2 linked regions of the Rhinolophus ferrumequinum genome follow. The protein of the gene in region 2 purifies or fractionates together with the protein of the main gene of each other region. This does not show direct contact. Links are inferred from orthologs where the notes say so. Each region holds a gene or a part of one and is shown on either strand. Other genes may lie near its edges.

Evidence for each region. Proteins that work in one complex are often made in the same cells at the same time.
Region 1: the proteins of TMPRSS6 (region 2) and HJV purify together in Homo sapiens (co-immunoprecipitation; 3 studies listed by IntAct). This does not show direct contact. The link is inferred for Rhinolophus ferrumequinum from reciprocal best matches to the Homo sapiens genes TMPRSS6 and HJV.

Annotation. Positions count from the first base shown.
Region 1 is NC_046305.1:50,221,758-50,228,842, forward strand, and holds the start of HJV (hemojuvelin), read right to left. Parts: upstream 3,007-7,085; 5' UTR 2,822-3,006; intron 1,599-2,821; 5' UTR 1,509-1,598; coding exon 1,412-1,508; intron 1,052-1,411; coding exon 477-1,051; intron 8-476; coding exon 1-7. UniProt on the Homo sapiens protein: Acts as a bone morphogenetic protein (BMP) coreceptor. Through enhancement of BMP signaling regulates hepcidin (HAMP) expression and regulates iron homeostasis.
Region 2 is NC_046293.1:9,672,353-9,680,238, forward strand, and holds the start of TMPRSS6 (transmembrane protease serine 6), read left to right. Parts: upstream 1-4,874; 5' UTR 4,875-5,081; intron 5,082-5,087; exon of another isoform or gene 5,088-5,228; intron 5,229-7,886. UniProt on the Homo sapiens protein: Membrane-bound serine protease. Through the cleavage of cell surface hemojuvelin (HJV), a regulator of the expression of the iron absorption-regulating hormone hepicidin/HAMP, plays a role in iron homeostasis.

The DNA of each region.
Region 1 (7,085 bases), on a different chromosome or scaffold from region 2:
TGGTGAGCTGTGAAGGCAAGAGGGAAAGCAGTTCATTGTGGGCTCAGGGCATCCTGCCCCCACCCCTCCCCCAGTCAGGGGTCTGATTCCCGCAGAGATGCCAGGCCCAGCATGGCCCTCACTCCGGGATCCCTTGTTCTCTTTAATGTAGCATTGCCTCACCCGTGCTCAACCCCCTCTCTCCTTTTTGGCCTCCCGCTGAGCCACTCCCACAGGAGAAGGAAAAGGTTCCCTTCTGGAACGCCAACCCAGGGCTCCTCAGCTCTCCCCCCCTAACTTTCTGTTCAGTGTTTTCTGAATTTGAGTGCAGTTCCCACCAAGGGAAAGTGATTTGCAAGAGCAAGTGTTCGGTAGGAGGGAGTGGTTCCCGATGTGGGAGTGGTTGAGGAAGAAGCATTGCTGAAGAGCAGTGGGGGTGGGCGGGAGGGGTACCGTGGGGGCACCACGAGAGGGCCTGGGGGAGCACGAGTCCTGACCTTCCGGGTGGTGGTGGCGTTGGCCCCCGACGCCACGGGGGAGCTGGTGGCCTGGACAAAAAGGAAGTCATTATCCAGCAGGGGCCAAGCTCCTTGGACACGGCAGGTGTGAAAGTGGTGATGGAAGCTGCGCACATGGGGGTCCCCGAAGGAGGCGCAATGCAAGAAGCCCGGGGGGCGACCGTGCAGCCGGGAGAACCGGCCTTCATAGTCACAGGGGTCCGGGGCGGGGGGCCCGGAGGAGCGGACCGGGCCGCTGCCTGGAAGGGCAGGGCCCCGGGGCGGGGGCGGCGCCGTGGGGCCCTGGCGGGAGCAGCTGTGCTGGATCATCAGGTCTTCGATGCCGTGCACTGCCGAGTGGAAGGCGAGGTCCCCGCGGCAGGTGCGCGCCGTGCGCCGAGTGCAGAGCGCGTAGGAGCGGAGGGCTCGACACAGGCCGCCCGAGCCCATCCCTGCCCCCCGGCCGCCGCCGCCTCCTTCTCCTCCCAGCGCTCCTGGGGAGCTCCCACCTCTGAGGCTCAGGGTGGACGATACATACTCAGCGTTGCAGCGGAGGATCTTGCATTGAGAATTAGCTGAGGGTAGGAGGGAGAGGATGGTGAGACGGTCCCCCCAGGACCCTGCTCTCCCTCCTCTCATCAGGGGGTTCCATCCGTTCCTGGAACCCCTGAAGGTCTGCCCGTCCCCACTCCCCAGCTCCCTAGTCCTGTCTTCATTCAGTTTTGCTGCAAGTGTGTAAACCCGCTGGATCTCCTGTCCCTGGCCATCAAGGTCTTTCCTAGTGGCCTTCCCCAAATTGAATGGGAAATAGTATGTTCCTGTTTGAGGGTGGTGCACGTGAGCCCGCAGCAGCACCCGTCTCTTAATTGACACACGCCGCCCCTCCACACAGCCTCCCCCGGAGCATCCCAAACCCTTCCTTAGCCCGGCCTTACCATGTCCACAGAGCAGCAGCAGGAGAGTGAGAGCGCCTAGAGTTGGGGGACTGCCATGGGGGAACCGCGGACTAGGGGACTGGCCTGGCTCCCCCATACCTATCCAGCCAGGTTCCCCCGGGCTCCAGTTCTTTCCAGCTGATGGCCCTCCTACCTAGTGAATTTTGACCCGCCGACCTGTAAGTGACTGAAAAAAGAAATTTGGCTGGGCATGGGGAAAGAGGAGAGGTGAAGATTGTTCAGGATGATGTGAAGAGAATCTGGAAAGATCAGGAAGAGGATAAACAGACTGGAGGTTAAGCAGACTGTAAGTGTGGCTGTTAAGCCTCTATGCCCTGTTCTTGTGGCCACTTTCAGGTCCCTTATGCAATACCCCTAGGTGGGGGTGGAAGGAACGTTGAGTGGACTGGAGGGGCAGAGTCCACTGTATTGCCCCATTCTGAGCTACCAAACAGCAGAAATATCAAAAAAGGAGGAATCATGGGGATCGAGCAGATCGCAGTCATCCCAGTGGGTTTCCCAATAGAATAAAGATCTGGAAATACTTCAGAAACATACCTCTTATTTGCTCCTCCCCATCAGGAGGGGACACCTACCAGGGATCATTCATTTCTTTTTTTCATGTGTCAGAATGTTCAGCAAGAAGGAGTAAGGGTGGAATAGCCATTTCCTCAGTATTCAAATGAAAAGGGAACCAATCTCTTTCATCTAAGCTAGAGAGCTGCAATTAGAAGTCCCCCTCTCTCGTGGAATAATGGGATGCAACCCAAGCCTGCAGTTCTTGAATATTTCAAACCTGACCGAAGAATCACTCTTTCCATTAATCTTCCCTTTGAAAATTTGGACGTTCTCAGGCTTTGGATGAGGACAGAGCTTGGGGAGGGGCCAGCTCACTCCTGCCAGCTTCCTTAGGGTAAGGAAATGAGGGGGGAGCAGTCATGCCGGAGGGAGAATACGACGGCAGGACTAGAGTTGTGGGGGGAAATCATTTACAACAAGGAGTGGCCCCCACCCTCAGAGGAAAGCGGAGGGCACTGCTAAGCAGAGGCAAGGTAGAGTATCAGTGACTAATCATCTGAGGCTAAATTTGGCCTTGGTGAGAAAACCACAGACTAGGGGATGTGGGAAACTCCTCCGAAAGAAGGACACTTCATCAGAAGTCTTGAGGTAACAAGATGAGAAGAGAGCTAAGACTGCCAGAGGAGAGGTGGAGGATTAAACTTCAAATGGGCAGAGGCCCGAGGCCAGAAAGAAAGGAGACAGGAGGAGAAATGGAGATTGGGGCACCTTAGCATGGAAGAGATCCTAGCTTTTGGACCAGAGACATCCAGGTAGATGTTGCAATTTTATGAAAGTCTTAACTTCAAACCAAAAGCTTACTAAAGGAATTGCAAGTTCATTTTGACTTACTGTTTCCAGAGGTCACACATTACTCTGATATCCAGTTCTCCAGCCATGACTGCCTATTCTGTTAGTCATCTCCAGTCAGGGGATCCCCGTCTTTCTCCATGTCTCCCCCAGGTCTCCAAACCGGCTGCAATCTCAGTGAGGTCAGGGAGCCAGAGAAGGTCTGGTGTGGGGGGGAAGGGGGAGTATATGGCTGGCAGGAGCACTGGACAGCTGAGTGGGGGAGGGAGGTGGCTACTGAGTTGACTGTTTTAAAAATAGCTAAGTCCAAAATTCCAGGAGTGTTGGTGGGGGTAGGGTGTGGGAGTGGGGAGGATGGGAGGATTAGAGAGAATATGAAGTATAAGGTGCCACGGGGCGGGGAGGGGACAGAAATAGGACAGGCAAGTCGGAGATCTCATTCCAACTTGTATGAGACTAGTCATTGCCTACTCCAGGCAGCCCTCCAGCATGGTCAATAGTGAGCTCCCGGCCTTTAAAAATTAGAGTGGGCAATTTGTATGCCTTTCGTTCACCGCTGTCATTCTTACTATATTGAATATGCATTTAGTTTCTATGGAGTATAGCTAGGAGGTAGCTGACTTTAAATACGATTGATACTGTGTTTCCCTGAAAAGAAGACCTAGTCGGACAATCAGTTCTAATGCATCTTTTGGAGCAAACATTAATAAAAGACCCCATCTTATTTTAGTATAATATAAGATCGGGTCTTCTATTAATGTTTGCTCCAAAAGACGCATTAGAGCTGATTATCCAGCTAGGTCTTATTTTCAGGGAAACACGGTAGCAGAGGTATAGTTCGCAGCCCTTCCCCCATCTTTGCCGAATATTGCAGAACGACTGAAAAAGCCAGCTGTCCAAAGAAGAAATCTGAGCTCTAAGTTGTTTAAGATGAGGGTTTGTTTCAGTCCACCAGCTCAGGTCCTGGCAGCTGTCTATCCCCCGACTGCCTCCATTTCATTCCCTCCTTCTCACCAACACACACACACACACACACACACACACACACACACACACCCCTTCTGAGTGGTTAGGAGCGAGGGTAGGGGGAGACTAACAGAGGCAAAGAGGTGGAGAAGGAATGGGGATATAATTTTCTGAAGGTTGTTAAGTCACAGGGGAGTGGACTTGGTGAGATAAACTGAGAGAAAACGAGACTCAGAAAGATGATTTTGTGAAGTAACACATTCTTGTGACCTTTTAATATACTGAACCCAAAGAATTCAGCCATGTCATATTTTTGCAGCCATAGGCATCTGGGATCATCTCTTAGTACCTGCCAAGTGAAATTAACACAAGGGCTGATTTCATAAAGTGTCACTAAGGCCTCTGCATTAATTGACTCTACATTTAATTCAGAATCTGGAGGCCCACACAAGTCCCTTCTTTTTATTATACATACATATCTGACAAATGTAGTTTTTCTCTCAAACACATGAGGCCGTATCATAAGGCTTTTATCACAAAAATGTAAAATGCCCCCAAGTCCAACTATTTAAGTGACTTCAAAACACAATAATTAGACCATGTCATCCCAAGTGAGATATACCCTAAGGACAAAAAGAAATGTGAAAATATTTTAAAGTAGTCACATTGTTGGTGGCAGTGTTGGTATTATTATTCTGAAACTATTGTAGATGTGTTGTGGGGTAAAATGAATGAGTGTTAATATTAGTGTCTTTGTGAACTAGGATTTTTGGTGTATAATAAAGAGATACAGACTTATGGGTGATGAAAGTAGGTAAAAACTCTGTAATTCTGAATTTAAATTGGAAATATAACTTGGAGCTCATGGTGTTTTTATCCTAACGCATTTCCCAACTTTATCCTAAAAAGGTCTAAAAATAATAACTCAGTAGCAATGAACACGCCTAGTGTTCAGACTGAGCTATCTAAACACTATTTCCCACTAAAAGGAACTCCTTGGAGAAATGACTAACTTCAGGTATGGGACAGGAATTGTCCAAGATAAGCAAGGAAGCTTTCAACGGACTGTTAAAATGGTATTAAAAGGACTCAGAAGCTTTTAGAATAATTTCCACTGGCCAAACATGGGCAATTTGAGTGTCAAAATGGACACTATCAGCAACATATTTGATATGTTTAAATCTGTGAGTTCACAGTGATACTTAAAAATACAAATTTATTAGTCACTGTTGGAGAATGCTAGGAGATCAACTCATTATTTTGAAAACTGCTAGTAATTGGAAAGAATCAAGCATTGATCCTGTTTTTTCTCTGTGAGAACTCAAGATGAGGGGGAAATTTCTCTTGATAGAAAATTTCCAGCAAATGAATGAAGAAGGAATGGCATAATTAGAATATCAACATTCTTGTAACTTCTACTGAATTAATGATTCTAGGCAATGGTCAACAATGGCTGTTGTCCATCACAAGAGAAGCAACAAACATTACGTCCTGCTGGTCATAGGTGGAGTAAACAATTCGACCTATGAGGTACCCTTGTAAAGAAACCCTTCAGTCTGAATCTGATCAAGCTCTAGTCTAGAGCTAACTACTAATTTACAGGAAATACAGGAGACATCAAATGATGCAAATCCATACTGTGGGAATACTCTAGAGCACAAATGTCCTGGGTTCTTCAACAGACCAGGGTTCTTGTTTCCCCGAAAATAAGACCTAGCCGGACCATCAGCTCTTATGCGTCTTTTGGAGGAAAAATTAATATAAGACCCGGTCTTATAGTAAAATTAGACTGGGTCTTATATTAACACGGTAAATTGGAAGAAAGAAAAAAGATGGAGAGGGAACCTCTCCTAGCCACTGGATCACCGGGGAACCACCTTTTACTGTGGCTAGCAGTAAGAGCAAGGTAGACATTTGCTAAATCGACCTTGAGTACTCAGTCAATACTTAGCTCAGAGTTGTAATAGAACCACAGGCAAACAGATTCTGCTCTTCCAGCTCCAAGAGTATTTCACATTGACTTTGAAGTAATTCTATTCTGACCATCAAGTAGTTCCATTACAGTGTGTGCCTTCATAGATTTTGTTCTGTTTATTTGGTTTATGTTTATTTCTATCTTGAGGTCTTGCAGAGGGAAAAACTCTCTATTAACTATTTGGGTAGAACTCAATTCCGTCGTGTTGCCGTGTTTTCCAGAGTGGCTGTACCATTTTATGGTCCCACGAGCAATATATGAATGATCTGGCTTCTCTGTATTATTCTCACCAGCATTTGATGTTGTCATTATTTTTCTAGCCATTCTGATAGGTATGTAATGACATTTAATTGTGGCTTCAATTTGTATTTCCCTAATGGCTAATGATGCTGAATGTCTGTTCATGTGCTTATTTATTTATATATCCTCTGAAGTGAAATGTCCCTTCATGTATTCTGACCATTCCTTATTGGGTTGTTTTATTACTGTTGAGTCTGAGAGTTCTTTATATATTATTCTAGATAGTACTCCTTCCTAAGATGTGTGGTTTCCACATGTTTTCTCCCAATCACTAGCTTGTCTTTTCATCCTCATAATGGTCTTTGGCAGAGCAAATGTGTTTTAATTTTGATGAAGTCTATTTTATAAGTTTTTCCTTTTACAGACAATGTTTTTGATGTTAAATCTTTGTCTAGCTCTAGATCATGAAGAGTTTTTTCCTAAAAGTTTTACGCTTCACGTTTAAGTTGGTGATCCACTTTGAGTTAGTTTTTATGTAAGCTCTGAGACTTAGGGAGGGTTTTTTTGTTTGTTTGCCTATGGATGTCCAAGTTCTACAGCAATGTGTATTGAAAAAGCTATTCTTCCTCCATTGAATTACTTTTTGTACTTTTGTAAAAAAAAAAAAAATCAGTTGCACATATTTGTGTAGGTCTACTGCTGGGTCCTTTGTTATGTTTCATTGATCTGTGTATTTATCCTTCTGCCACTACCACACCATCTTGACAGGTGTAGCCTTTTAATAAGTCTTGGGTAAAATCCTGAGTAAAACAGATAAGCTGATCCCTCTCACTTAATTCTTCTTTTTCAAAATTTGTTTTAGCTATTCTAGTTCCTTTGCTTTCCATATAACTTTCGGAATAATTTTGTCTACATCTGAAAAAAAAAATCTTTCTAGGATTTCCGCTTTACTAATTTTTTTTATTGTGGTAAAATACACATAACATAAATTTCACAATTTTAACCATTTTAAAGTGTACAATTCAATGGCATTTAGTACATTCAAAATGTGAAATCATCACCAATATCTAGTTCCAGAACATTTTCATTGCCCTAAAGGAAAACCCTGTACTCATTATGCAGTCA
Region 2 (7,886 bases):
CCTCATCCAATAGGACCTATGACCCATGTCTTTGTACAAAGAGAGGGGACACTGGGAAAGACACGCAGGGAAATGGCCATGTGCCCACAGAGGCAGCGATCGCAGTTAAACGGTCACAAACTGAGGACCACCAAGGATTGCCAGCCACCAGCACAGCTAGGAAGAGGCAGGAAGGATCCTCCCTTAGCGCCTTCCAAAGAGCACGGCCCTGCTGACACCTTGGTCTTGGACTTCCAGCCTCCAGAACTGGGAGACAACAATTTCTGCTGTTTTAAGCCACCCTGTTGGTGGCACTTTGCTAAGACAGTCCTAGGACACTAATACACCACCTTGCAGCCTAGAGAGGAGCTCAGCCCCCCTAGACACCTATCTAGACAGCATCTGGCTGGGGCATATAGAGCCCCTCTCCCCCTCAAGTCCCTTCACCTCAACCCCAGGGCCTATGAGTCCCACAATTTCCCAGAAGATTTCGGAGAGAGACACGGTCAGCAGAGAATGTTCTCCATGGTGGGCAGGACTCCCAACTCACCTTTCCCCAACAATGGCCTCCTTGAACTCTGAGGCTTGGCTGACCCACAGGACAGGCTGCCTAGGAGAGGTGGCTCCCCGCCGTCTCGCGACCTAACCTCCCTGGAAGCGTGCCATCACTCCCTGTACTGGATTGAATAATGTTCCCCCAAAACATGGAACCTGTGACTGTGGCCTTATGTGGACAAAGGGTCTTTGCAGATGTAAGCAAGTTAAGAGGAGGTCATCCTGCATAGGCTGGGCTCTGAACCCAGTGTGACTGGTGTCCTTATAAGAAGAAGGAAATTGGTCACGGAGACACAGACACACAGGAAGGAGAGACGGAGGCAGAGATTGGAGTGGTGCTTCTCCAAGCCAAGAAATGCCAAGGATTGCTGGCAACCACCAGAAGCCAGGAAGAGGCAAAGAAGGATTATTTCCTAGAGCCGTCAGAGAGAGAAAGGACCAGCTGACATTTGATTTTGGCCTCCAGAAATATGAGAGAATAAATTGTTTTAAGCCATCCAGTTTATGGTCATTTGCTATGGCAGCCCAGGAAACTGATATACCTTCCAGCAAAGAGAAGACAATGGTGTTCCTGTTCCACCCGCAATGGGCTGTGGGACCTGGGGCAGGTCAACCTCTCCTCTCAAAACCTCAGTCTCTTCTTCTGTTGAGTGGGGACATGTAACTCCCAAGCCTGGACTTGAGACATCTCTGTTAAGGGGCCAGCGTGCGGCTCAGAATTTAAATGCCATACTGTATTATCATCGGAGGAAATGACAGTAACTTATTCATTCAGTCAACCAATGTTTGTTTGTCCTTGTTCCAGGTACTGATCTAGGCTGAGATCCAGCAGGGGACTCACAGTGTAGGGATGGGGAGGGAAAGGTGACTGAGGAAACTGCTTAAGACTAGGCGCTGCCTGAAGGCCTGATAAAAATGCAGCTGTCTGGGTCCTTCAGCCTCTTTGGTGGACAGTCGTGAGCAGCTGCTGTGTGTAGGGCCCCGGGAGGAAGCGGAACACACAAACAGGCGTTGCCATGGCATTTACCTGACACGGCTCACTCAGCATTGTGTCAGTTTGCGGGGGCTGCATAACAAAGTACCAGGAACGGAGTGGCTTCAACAGCAGAAATGTATGGTCTCATAGGTCAGGAAGTGCGAAGTCCAAGATTCAAGGTGTGAGCAGGGTTGGTTCTTTCTGAGGGCTGTGAGGAAGAGTCTATTCCACGCTTCTTTCTTACGTTTGGGTGCTTTGCGGGCAATCTTTGGCTTTTCTTGGCTGGTAGAAACATTACCCCGATTTCTGTGTCTACCTTCACGTGGGATTCTCCCTGTGTGTGTCTGTCTCCAAGTTTCCCTTTTCTATAACAACATTGGTCACGTTGGATCAGGGGCCTCTCCTACTCCAGTACGACCTCATCTTAACTAATTATATCCGTAGCAAACTTATTTCCAAATAAGATCACATCCGGAGGCACGGGGGGTTAGGACTTCCACATACGAATTTGAGGTGACACCGTTCAACATATCACAACAGCTTTTTTGTGCTGCCAGGAAGGCAGGCGGCCCTTGTCCCTTTGGGAGACACCAGGGCTAGTGCTGGCCCAGTGGCCTCCGTCTGAGTGTCACCTCATTTTGAAAATGTCTTAAGAAGTGGGATGTTGAGTAGGTATTTTCTTTCAAACGAAGGACTTCTGTACAATGTCCAGGTCTGTTAGGCAGACGTCAGACATGTCTCCTTTATGTCCCTGTCCCCACTGCCCAGGAACAGGCCTAGATAGAACATTGTAGGTGCTTAACACAGGTTTGTGTAATGAATAAACCAGGAGTCCCGAGTTCAAATTTCATCAGGGCCTTGGTTTCCGCAAATTGGGCCTACGAAGGGCATTGACGAAAGGGTCGTTGTGAGAAGTGAACGAAATAACCCGTGAAGCACTGGGCATAGCACCGAGTCCATAGTAAGTGCTCTTTGCAGCCTCAGCCCGGGCCTGGAAGGCCATTATCCTACGGCCATTGTCACGTGTGAGGAGGACACAGCTGCCCGCCCCCACCCCCAACTCCATCCAAACCTTAAAAAGAGAGGCAGCTAACATTTTGTAAGTGGCTCCCGTGGGCCAGGCACAGCATCTGCAATTTATGTCTCTTCCATCTTTTCACCTTCGACAGCCAAGCTTTATCATCCGCATTCCGCAGATGGCGAGGTGGTAGCTTGGGGAGGTGACACATCTTGCCAGATCACCATCAAGTGCAGGGACTGGGATTTTGGCCATATCCTCTGACTCTCCAACCCCTGGCTGGATCCTTGTCACCTGAGTGTGGTGGAGGCCCGGCCTCCAAGCCTCACCGGCCAGGCCTCCAGGGAGCTTCTCTGTCCCTGTAGAACAAAGGGGCCCAGCGTTGGTGTAAAATGCTGATTCCCAGAGAGCATCGAGGGCTTTATCCTGTGTGTGTGAATGTGTCCCTTTGCTGCAGGGACAAGGGTATCCAGGCCACCCGATTGCCTAGTTGATAGAACGAAGTCTTCTCTCAGCGGCAGGCTGTGCCCCAGTCTGTCTCTCAGCGGCACAGTGTCCCCCACTCATGGCTCTCTGAGCTCTTGGGGCGGTGGCCCCCTTGCCCATGCTTTCAAATGCCTCCCTTTGCATTTTGCTGCCTCCTCATGCCAGCCCCTCCCCTCTGACTGTGGCCGATAGATCAATGATTGGCCAGGCGACAAGTACAGAGGACGTGGATTGTGCAAGATCTTCTGCATTTCAGACTGTCCAGCTATCAGCCTGCCTGGTCCGGGGGCCTGGGTCGTTTGCCTTTCAAAAGACAGAGAGGGTACAGAGGCAGGGCTTGGGGTGTCTTTGACCCTGGCCCGCCTGCCATTCCTGCTCCCATCCTAAGCACCTCTCCCTTGGAAAGTTTGCAATGGGTTGTGGGCCAGGGCCCGGGGAAAGGGGGAGGTTGGAGGAAGGAGGAAAATTACCTGGGTCTGGGGTGAAGGGGAGTGGGACTAGGTGGGGGTTCTCAGTCCCAGGTAGGGGTAATGCCCTTGGGCAGGGGCCAGGGTCCTGGACAGGACTGAACAAGAGGGACGTGCGGGAAGATGCTCCCCACCCAGAATCCCCAACCAGCCCATGGGGCACCCTCCTGCCCTGACCCAGCCCTTTTCAGGTCTGGAGATGGCACACACTGTACGTACAGAGTTCGTACCCAGTGCCTCTGTGCATGGACTCTTATTCCTGATGGACACCCTGTGGACCCCATGTGCCCCCAACACTTGCATACAGCAGGCCCCCGTACAAAGCATACACAGAGGTATGCACATGCGTGTGTGTGACACACGTGAGGTGATGTTGCACAGGCAGTCCTCCTTACCTTCACTGGAAACTCCGTACACGTGCTGACCTAGCCCAGACACATGGCACACGCACACACCTCACACTCACACACACACACACACACACACACACACACACCCCCACATGTCACAGCACTCAGAGTCTCAGATGTGAAACTTCGGGCCTAATTGCGACAAACACCAGTCAGCCTGTGCACAACCAGAAAACCCTGGTGCCTGCCCAACGCGTGCTTTGGAGCAGGATGTGGTCAGACCCACCGTCTCTACCGCAGCTCTGCTCACTAGCACCGCAATTCACATTTGTGAATTTCCATGTTCTACTTCTTGCCACACTTGTGATTTCCATGTTCTAGTAGTCACATGAAAGAATATGAAACCAAGCAGGTGAAATGAATTTTAACAGTATATTTTATTTAACGCAATCTAGCCAACATGTTACCATTTTAACATGTCACCAGTGTAAAAAAATTCTTACTGAGGTATTTGACATTCTTTGTCGGCACCACCTGGTGTGTATCTCAGCCGTGCAGTGATACGTCTCAATTCAGACAGACCCCTCTCCAGAGGCTCCAGAGACACGTGGGGCCAGTGGCCATCAAAATGGGCTACACAGCTCTATAGAATCACGTGGAAATTCAAATAATTTCCAGCTAAACACAAAATAGCACTCTGCACTCCACTCTCTTCTCTCCTGTCCCCAGAGCACATGGCCCAGTCTCCTTTTCTCTCTCGGGCCACTGGCTGCCCGGGTCTCACCTGTCCAGGTAAGGAGACCCGTGTGAGACCCTGCAGGTACCACACAGGGCCCTCAACACAGCCCCCAGTCCCTGGCCCCCCACCTCATGCTCTAGAGGACCAGGGGCTGTAACTAGGCAGGAACGTCACCAGGCAACGGGCCTCGGGGGACAGCTCAGATCTCCTGCACCTGCCCGCCAGCCTCCAGGGTGCCCACGGGGCAGGGCGGGGCGGGGCGGGCACTGCGTGTCTCTTGCCTCCGGACTGTTTACCTGAGCACAGTCACAGTGCTGTCCTGAAGTGAGCAGCAGGCCCATGGAGCCTGGGGCCACAGGCCACAGAGGACAAGGGCCAGACACTCCGGCCATGGCTCTGGGCCATTGATCCAGCCCCAGCTGGCCGGGTGGAGGTGGGGAGACCTTGTCCTGGACAAACAGAGGCCGTGAGGTCTGCGTGCAGGCCCGGCACCCACTTGCCACTCCCAAAGGTAAGTGGGGGCCTCCAGGACAGGGGAGCAGGATCTATGAATGACCCGGTAACAGTGTCCTCTGAGAGCTGGGCCTGGCTCCTTGGAACTTGAGCCGTGTGCCCTGCTCTGAGGCCAGGTCTGCCGCCTCGGCCAGAAAGTAACCAGGTGAGCAGAAGGAGGGTCCATGGAGCTGGGTCTGGGGCAGGACAGGGCGGAGTGAGGCCGGTGTACGGGTAGGTACGGGGCAGTGGAGGAGCTGTGGGTTCTGGGTGCTGGGAGGCCTGGGATTCGGTGGGGCCGGTGGACTCTGGGGCAGGGACAAGGCAGGAGAGAAGCCTGATTTGCTGGCCGAGTACCTCCCAGCACTCTGCAGGACTGGGCATGCTGCCCCCTCCGTTCCCAGGACACGACCTGGGTGGTGTGGTCTGGGAGACAGGCCCAGAGCCCTACACTGCACTAAACAGGGGACCTTTAGCTCCCAGGCTCGGAGCTGAATGCAGCTGGCAGTGTGTGTGTGTGTGGTGTGTACGTGCACAAGTGTTTATGAAGGGGGATTGTGGATCTATGAATCTGTGTCACAGATAGGTGTGTGTACCTTTGTAGGTTTCCATCTGTGTACATCTGTGTGTGAGTTTGTGAGTGTGTTTGTGTGTGTAGAAGGGATGCTCACCCCCCACCCCCACGCACACCCGGGAACACACAGTCACAGTAGCTCATAGCAAGGATTCGCTGTAGGCCTGCGTGGCCTCGCTGGAAGCTCCTAGAACAGAGTCCCAGCTCTGCCTGCTCTGCCCTGCCCCGGCTGGGTGACCTTGAGTGAGCCATTTCATCTCCCTAGACCTCAGTTTCTCCAACCATTAGGTAGAGATGGCAAGGCAAACATCCCAGACTGATGGAGGCTGAGATGGAATGAGGTTTTCAGCATTGCCCAGCACAGGGCTAGCATGGAGGAGGAGGTATAGCCTGGTCCCAGTGAGCTCAGCCCCCAGTGGGCAGATTGAGACCCCTCCATTGGTCAGAAGAGCAGGACGGAGTGAGGAACACGTGCCAGGGTGGGGTCTAAGTGCTCAGATCAGAGGAGAAGCCTCAGGCCCCTATGGCAATTGGGGTAGACCCAGTCCCTCCTGGCAGGGGCTCACTGTCATGGGGACAGAGAAAATGCCCCCAAGGTGAACTATGCATCGATGGGGGTGGCCCAGGAGACGTCAGGGGGCAGTTGCCCCTCCTGGGGCTCTCTGGAGCTTCCAGGAAGGAGGAGGTGAGAGCTGAGCTGAGGTGTGAGTGGGCCATCCAAAAACTGGCCAGGTTAGGAGGTGGGCAGCCTAGGAAGAAAGAAGGGCGTGGTGGGAAAGCTAAATGGTAGGCAAGAACTTTCAAGAACCAGTCTGCGTGATGTTCTTCACCCCAGAGCTGGCAAAGAGCCCTTGATCCGTAACGGTTTTCTACCATCTCCATGACTAGACTTGCTAACTGGTAAGTCCAAGGTCACTGGGGTACAACAGGAAGAAGAGGGCGTGGGGAGAAAGGAGGCAGGAGAAGTTGGCCCCGCCACACACGCACACAGCTCCTGTGTGGGAAGGAGCTAGGATCCTAGCATTCATTCATTCAACAGTGAGGGAGTACCAGGTCTGCTCTTGGCGCAGGGTACACAGTGCTGAACAGAATAAAGCTCCTGCTCCCGAGCCGCTTACAGCCAGTGAGGAGGGTGGACACGTAAGCGTCTCATGCGATTGAGGTCTCAAGAAGTGCTGTGAAAAAAATGGAGAGGAAAAGGGGGTGGTCAGGGAAGGCCTCGCTGCAGAGGTGACATCCCAGCAAAGACTGGGAGACAGTAAAGGAGCAGACCATGAAGCAAACTGAAGGAAAAGCATTGTGGGGAAGGGAACAGCAAATGCAAAAGACTATATATACTTGATATGTTGATAGTCTGGCAAGGAGCTGAGTGGGGGCTGGTACAGAGGGAGGGAGAGGACAGAAAGATGCGAAAGGACCAAATTACCTAGGCCTCTGTGGGCTGTGAGAAGGACTTTGGGCCCTGTTCTAGGTGGACGGGGGCCATGCGAGGCTGGTGAGCGGGGCACGTGGTGAAAAGACTACTCTGACGGTTGTGTAGGAAGGAATTCGATACTGAGGGTGGCCGGGTGACTGGCTACTGCAAGGTCAAGTTCGCAGACGATGCTGACTTAGCTGATGGTGGGAGCCATGCTGGTACCAAGAGAGACTTGGGTTCTGGGGGCATCCGGAAAGTAGAGCCACAGACTTTTCTGATGGACGGGGCCCTTGAAACGATGGGGACGCCCTTGCATAACAGTAAAAGACGGAGCAGTCTGGTCTGGTCATCTTCACACCTGTCAATTGTCACAGTTGTCCATCTCCTGCTGGGCCGTCCACCCCAAGAGGGTGGGAATGGGGTCCCTTATATTCACCAATGTGCCCCCTGTGCCCAGCACACAGCCTGGCACAAAGCAGGTGTTCATCACAAATGCGGTGGCTGGGTAACTGAATCTAAGATCCATGGCTCAAGCCTCACATGTCCTGCTTCCCAGAGGCAGCAAGACGTAGGAGAGAGCACTGCACTGAGAGTCCGGAGCCCTAGGGTTCTTTGCATTCATTCCTTCATCAGGCATTCATTCATGTGGCAAGCCCTGTGCTGGGTCCTACAGGGAATCAGGAGTGAAAAAGATACAGGCCTATTTTCTTGTGAGGAAGAGAAATGAAGGCCAAAGGAACATTGTTGATCTGACCAAGGGCTGCCCAGGAGAGGAGGTGACTTACTACTTAGGGCCTGGGGACCCGTCGCCAGGCAGGTGGCCTTGGAGCCCC